Linked DNA regions of Macaca fascicularis. The protein of the gene in region 1 purifies or fractionates together with the protein of each later gene. This does not show direct contact. Links are inferred from orthologs where the notes say so. Each region holds a gene or a part of one and is shown in the gene's direction. Other genes may lie near its edges.

Region 1 (3,756 bases):
CATTTTCTGCATTCCCAAACACTCTGTTCATTTCTCACATAATATTAAGATGGAGATTGAAGTGGATTACTGCATTTCATTGTGATTTATCCGTTTACATGTCTCTGAGTAGAATATGAGCTTCTTGAAGAAAGGGACTTTGTCTATACATGTTTGATACACAGCTCCTGGTAAGCGGTATGACCTAACATTGTTAAATAAAGGAATGGGATTTATAGATATAATCTGGAACATGTATCAAAATTTACAATAATACCCAATTTGTGTATTATGTATATTCTATAATATTCATCCATATACATCCATATATTATATATAGAGTTCCATGAAGTTCACTACTGTATTCAGAATGATATTCAAATGCTATTCAATTTTAAATGATATATTTTTAGCACCATAAAATGTTACACAAATCCATATTTAAATAGTATTATTGTATAATAACCTGTAAACTAGAGTTACTACACACACATACACACCACACAAATTCTATTTAAAAAGCTATTTACCACAAAGTAATTCTAAGACTTGATTAACACTGCCTAATGGAAAAGTCTGGAGATTGGAGCCAGGCAAAAAAAAATCTGCATTTTGGTTGTCTAGCACTACCTGAGTAATTTCCGTTGCTTCTTTCTGAACGTGAATTTTCTGTGATGTGGAGACATTTAATACCATCCTTAGTGAACTGGCTTAAGGACTGGAGGTAATAATGTATGTGAAGGGCTGATGAATGCTTGTAGTCAGACTGTAGTCTCTCTAGAGTTCCTTCCTCGCTTGCAAACTAAGTAAAGGCTTTTTTGTTTGTTTTACACATTATGAGTCTTTTATAGTCAGGAAAACTACACGGATCCCAACTTTGGCAATTCAGAGAGTCCGATTAACGTGGTAGAGACAAAAATATATATATATATATTTAATAAATATATATATAAAAAACTCGGAAAACGCGCTAAACCCGCAGGGAGCGCTGGGCCGACCTCCAGTATCCCAGCATTCCTCGCGCTGCTCCCGTAGTTCCTTCTCCGAGTCTCTATGGTAGCGTCAGCCTCGGAGGCGGCAGTGACGGTGGCGTTTCCTTGAGGAAGAGTGAGGGTTCCAACTTTCCTGCTGATCTGGGAGGTGTTGGGCGCGGAGGGTCGAGATGTCAGAGAAAAAGCAACCCGTAGACTTAGGTCTCTTAGAGGAAGACGACGAGTTTGAAGAGTTCCCGGCCGAAGGTAACCGCTGTGCCCCGGTTTCTGTGCCGCGCGAACGGTGACTCAGGCCTCCGTGTGGAGGTGGTTTGGTCGGTCGGGCCCAGCTGGGGGCACCGGCGGGAAGTTTGGACTCCCAGGGCCGGCACTCGAGGCGCTAACGCTCATCCCTCAGTGGCGCCCCAGCGTCGGGTTTGGGGTGTCGCGCTGGGACTCATTGGCGAGGCCCAATGGCCTCAGCTTCCGTACTGGGAGGAGCCACCGTGAGTCTGGACCCATAGCCCCGCGTCTGGGATGGTTGGTCCCTTTACTGTTCCTCTGGGTTACTCACCACTTAAACTTTAGTTCAAGTCTACATAACTTCCTTTTATTTTTCTTTTCTTTTCTTTTCTAGAATTTCTTTTCTTTTCTTTTCTTTTTGTTTTAACAGTCTTTCTTTGCCTTTAAACCTTTCCAGAATTGAATTGTCTGTAGTTACGCCAATGCTGCTTAACTTTTAGGATGTTACAAATGAAGCCTGATTAAGTAAGACAGAAGGGTAAGATATTGGGTGCTTAATACACATTATTGCCTTACTCCTGTTCCTCACCATTTTTGTCACTTAACTGTGACCTAACTTAATGCTTTATAAGACCCTACAACTTGACGGGTATGGTGGCTCAGGCCTGTAATCCCAGCAGTTTGGGAGGCCGAGGTAGGAGGATCACATGAGGTCAGGAGTTCAAGACCAGCCTGGGCAACATAGCGAGACCCTGTCCCTACAAAAATAAAATATATATTTTTAAAAATATATTTTTTCAATTAAAAATACACTTTTTTTTTTTTTTTTAGTTTCAAAACTAAAGACCTTTAGTTTTTTTGTTGTAGGTAATAGCAAATTGCTAACATTTCTTGAGTGGCTGCTGTTTTCAGGAACTTGTCTAAGTGCTTTACTTGTAATAGCATATTCCACTTTCATAAATTCCACTAGGGCCTACTTCCTGTATGCCCTAGACCATTCTTTAGATAAACTGAAGCTCAGAGTGAAACGTTCCTGATGTCTCATAACTAGTTAGAAACAATAGAAGTGGAATTGGGACACCTGTTCTGATTGACACCAAAGTTCTTAACTTTAGCTGTACTGCTTCTGTTTGTGAGATTGCTGTTACCAGTTGGGTTTTCAAAATAGGCTGCTTTATTGACTAATGGTTGATGAGTAGGACTTGTAAATATTTACCTTATAAGAAAAGGAGATTACTTTCTGAAGGTGGTAGAAAGAGAATTGTGGTTAATGGGGTACACATCCTGCTGCATCAAGCAATTACTACTTCACTAAAATTGTCCCAAGTTGTATACCCTATCATGATCCTATTGTACGTAAAACCACATAGCTGGAACATTTGTTCTATTTATAATGTACTGTTACTTTGTTTAGTGGAAGAGAACATTAGTGTACATGCTACAGAAACTCGTAAACTAACCCAAAGCACATTTCTTTTCAGTTCTGGAATTCATTATGTATTGTAGGCATTCTTAGTTTTTTGTTTTGGTAATGGATTTATCTGTTCAGTCATGTTTTCTTTAGCTCACTTTCAAGTTGCGTCATAATCTGCCAACATAGAGCTGTGTCATAGAAAGCTGGCCTATTGAAGGTAGGATCTTCTTACTCAAACTTCATACTTCAAATAACATTGTTCATTATCATATACAGGGTGGAATGTTAGGCACTTTATTTACATTATATAATCTAGTTATCACTATCACCCTGAGAATATGGAGGCTCAGAGACAAAAAGAAAAACAAATAAACAAAACTTGCCATTATGTCCAAGCCAGAATCTGAAAGGTCTGTCTCTCTGATCCAAACTTTATCCGCAGTATTTAGCAGAGTGCCTAATACATAGTAGGTGGTCAGTAAATGCTTGTTGAATGAATGATGAATGAACCCGCATTTAAAATGAGTAGTTAGTTGATAATTGACTGCTTAAAAACGATCTAGAGATAACTATGTACCTGATGGTACACTTGATTTTTTTCAGCAACTTTCATCAGCTTTTGCTAGTGTAGTTTGTGCTTGTTCTAAGTTTATGCTGTGAGCAGCAATTTTTCGAAGTGCCAGTAGTTACATAGTAAAACAAAACAAAAAGGTAAAAGGAAAAGCAAAGAAAATATTCTAAGGACAAAAGACTCACAACAGACTGGTTTATTAACATTAAGTTATTGACCATTTATGGGTCTCCTTACAGAATGTTTGTTGTCTTCAGATATAAATGTGTAGAATTAATTCATTCAGGAAACTTTCCATTTTAGAATGAGAAACATTTTTAATGTCTATTTTGTTCAAGTTTCTCTTCTCTGGTTTATGATTTGGAGAGGTTTTTCTTAAGTTAGTGAGAAAATCAGCCCACAAGGTGAAACCACTCAATATTTACTCATGAAAATTGTTCTGATGAATAACAAAACCTAAAGAAGAACAAACTTGGGAAAATATCACCAAATAATTATTCCTTTTCTGAGAATCTGCATTTCTGACATGTTTTGGTCTAGTCAAGATTTAGAGTCTGTTGCTATTCAAAATGTGATCC
Region 2 (3,656 bases), on another chromosome or scaffold:
ATCTGCAGATAGAGACAGTTTTACTTCTTTTCTAATATGGATACCTTTTATTTCTTTGTCTTGTCTAATTGCCCTATCTGGAGCCTCCAGTATATTATTAGACTAGCAAGAACCAACAACATCCTTGTCTGGTTCTTGATCTTAGGGGAAAGCATTCAGTCTTTCATCACTAAGTATGATGTTATCTGTGGGTTTTTTGTGGATGCCCTTTATGAGATTGAAGAAATTCCCTTCTATTCCTAGTTTGTTCATCAGAAAAAGGTGTTGGATTTTGTCAAATGTTTTTTTCTTTTTTTATTAAGATAATCATGTGATTTTTGTCCTTTAGTATGCTTTTATTACATTGATTGGTTTTTGTATGTCGAACCAACCTTGCATTTCTGGGATAAATTTTACTGGTCATAACGTATGATCCTTTTTATACGTTGCTGGATTTAGCCTGCTTGTATTTTGTTGAGGATTTTTGCATCTGTTCATAAGTCATATTGGTCTGTAGTTTTTTTTGTGATGTCTTTGAATTTGGTGTCTGGGTAATACTGGCCTCTTAGAGTAAGTTGGGATTTATTCTCTCCTCTTCTGTTTTCTGGAAGTATTTATTAAGAATTGGTGTTAATTCTTTGAACAGTTGATAGAATTCATCAGTAGTCTGGGCCCGGGCTTTTCTTTTTGGGAAGTTTTGTGATTACTGATTCAGTCTCTTGTTACTTGTCTATTCTACTTTTCTGTTTCTTTTAGAGTCAGTTTTGGTGGTTTTTAACTTGGAATTTGTATATTTTATCTGAGTTGTCTAATTTGTTGGCATGCAGTTGTACATATTTCCTTATAATCATTTTCTTCTTTTGTTAAAGTAGTAATATTCCTGCATTTATTCCTGATTTTAGTAATTTGAGTCCTAAGATTTTTGTTTTTTCCCTTCAGTTTAGCTAAAGGTTTTAATTTTGTTGATTTTTTTTTTTTTAATGACAAAAATAACTTTGGGTTTTGTTGATTCTCCCTATTGTTTTTCTAGTCTTTTTTTTTTTTTTTTTTTTTTTTAAGTCTCTCTAATGTTTATTTCCTTCTTGCTTGCTTTTAGTTTGTTCTTCCATTTTTAGATTAGGTTTAGTTTAGATCTTCTTTGTTTAGTTTTAGATTAGATTATTATCTATCTTTGTTAGGATAGATGTTTATAGCTATAATATTCCTTCTGTGTTTATGCTATAGCAGCATTCCATAGGTTTTAGTATGTTGTTTTGCTTTCTTTAATCTCAAAATATTTTTCAATTTCCCTTTTGGTTTCTAATTTAATTCATTTGTTATTTAGGATTGTGTTAATTTCTACAAGTTTATGAATTTCCCACATCATCTCCTTTTCTAAATTCATTCCATTATAATCAGAGAATATACTTTCAATACTTTTCAACTTTTTGAGGTTCGTTTTGTGGCCTAACATGGTATTTCTGAAGAATGTTCTATGTATACTGAAGAAGAATATAATGTAGTTCTTATTGTGGTCTATAAATACCTGATAGATCTAGTTTGTAGTCAAGTCTTCTTCCTTAGCTGTTTTATCTATTATTGAAGGTGGGGCTATAGATTTCTCTAACTATTATTGTTAATTACCATTTCTACCTTTAATTCTCAGTTTTTATTTTATGTATTTTGTGGCTCTGTTATATATGTTTATAATTGTTGTGTCTTCCTGATCCTTTTTTATCATAAAATGCCTTTTGTTTATAGTAACAATTTTTATCTTAAATCTGTTTCATCTGATATAGTCATTCTAGCTCTTTTTTGGTTACCATTTGCATGGTATATACCTTTTTCGATCATTGTGTTTTTGAATCTTTAAATTGTGTGTTTTGTAGAAGCAGGCAGTTGGATTATACCCTTTACTTCACCTATCCTAGCTTTAATCTGGATAAAACCCAGATAACAAACGGATTTTTTAATTTCTTCTCCTTTCATAGATCAGTAGTTATTCGTGATGAATTTGGATTTTTGCCCAAATTTTAAGGGTCATTTCCGAATATAATCTAACAGCAGTCCTCAACCTTTTGGCACCAGGGACCAGTTTTGTAGAAGACCTTTTTTTCTACCAACAGAGGTGGAGTGGGCGCGGTGGTTTTGGGATGAAACTGTTCTACCTCCGATTATCAGGTATTAGTTAGGTTAGGAAGTGGGGCGGGGTGGTGGTTTGGGGCTGAAACTGTTCACCTCACATCATCAGGCATTTGTTAGGCTATCATACGGAGCACAGAACCCAGATCCCTCACATGCACAGTTCACAGTAAGGTTCATGCTCCTATGAGAATCTAATGCTGCCGCTGATACGAAAGGAGACGGAGCTCAGGTGGTAATTCGAGTGATGGGGAGCAGCTGTAAATACAGATGAAACTTCACTTGCTCACCCACTGCTCACCACCTCCTGGGCGGCCCAGTTCCTAACAGGCCAATGGGTGGTGCCAGTTTGCGGTCTGGGGATTTGGGACACATGATCTAACTCAAGGTGATTGAGACAATTGAGGAAGGTGACATTTGGCTGAGTTTTTAAAGGCTTTTAAAAGCAGTGAGTATTGTCACAAGTGGTTTTTAATAGACTAGGAAAATGAAATTAAGTAGCTAGTATTACCATTTAAAATGCTGTGATTGTTAAGCAGATAAAAATAGAACACTGTCTTTACTTCAAAATGTACCGTGTGTTATTACTACTAATTGGTCACCTAGTTTTCTAGTATGGAGTGTTGAATAAAGCAAGGAGATTGAGAGTGATGTTTGATCCAAATGAAAGACATTAGTTGGCATTAATAAATAAAACATTTGCTTTTAATTTACAAATAATTAGATGAGGTGGTTAAGCTATACTCCAGGTACTCTCATCCTTATCTTCACTCTTAATATACTAAAAACCATTTGATTTACACATTTCTGTAGTCATTTATTTTTAAACCATAGCAATTAGCAACTAATGTTTAATTAGGCCAAAGAGTATTTGCATAGTATCTCTTAAGCTTTAACTAGAAAACAAAGACTTTTTTAGGCGATTAGTAAAGGAAAGGGTCTAGATTCCATCAAACCGCTTGGGTTGGGCAGTAAATCCATATTCAGATAGAGATGAATTCATGTAAAATTCTCAAAAGCTTTTTTGGGTTGCAGTATGTTTTTGAGTAATGATCTGTCTTTAGTGCTATGCTGGAATCTGTAATATGTAAGTAAATTAAATGTGCCATAATTGGTGTGTTGGATTTATATTTTTTTCCTTTTTCTTCCAGTTAAAGGCATTAGGATTTCCTGAAGGACTTGTGATACAAGCATATTTTGCTTGTGAGAAGAATGAGAATTTGGCTGCCAATTTTCTTCTACAGCAGAACTTTGATGAAGATTGAAAGGGACTTTTTTATATCTCACACTTCACACCAGTGCATTACACTAACTTGTTCACTGGATTGTCTGGGATGACTTGGGCTCATATCCACAATACTTGGTATAAGGTAGTAGATTGTTGGGGGTGGGGAGGGAGGGATCTAGGATATAGGGCAGGGATAAATACAGTGCATGTCTGCTTCAACTAGCAGATGCCGCAACTCCACACAGTGTGTAAAATATATACAACCAAAAAATCAGCTTTTGCAGGTCTTTATTTCTTCTGTAAAACAGTAGGTAACTTTTCTTAGGTT

Evidence for each region. The genes of interacting proteins can lie anywhere in the genome.
Region 2: the proteins of SEM1 (region 1) and RAD23B purify together in Homo sapiens (co-immunoprecipitation; 3 studies listed by BioGRID and IntAct, with this or other methods). This does not show direct contact. The link is inferred for Macaca fascicularis from reciprocal best matches to the Homo sapiens genes SEM1 and RAD23B.

The regions. Positions count from the first base shown.
Region 1 is NC_088377.1:124,618,046-124,621,801, forward strand, and holds the start of SEM1 (26S proteasome complex subunit SEM1), read left to right. Parts: upstream 1-1,058; 5' UTR 1,059-1,141; coding exon 1,142-1,217; intron 1,218-3,756. UniProt on the Homo sapiens protein: Component of the 26S proteasome, a multiprotein complex involved in the ATP-dependent degradation of ubiquitinated proteins.
Region 2 is NC_088389.1:50,789,480-50,793,135, reverse strand, and holds part of RAD23B (UV excision repair protein RAD23 homolog B), read left to right. Parts: intron 1-3,251; coding exon 3,252-3,365; 3' UTR 3,366-3,656. UniProt on the Homo sapiens protein: Multiubiquitin chain receptor involved in modulation of proteasomal degradation. Binds to polyubiquitin chains.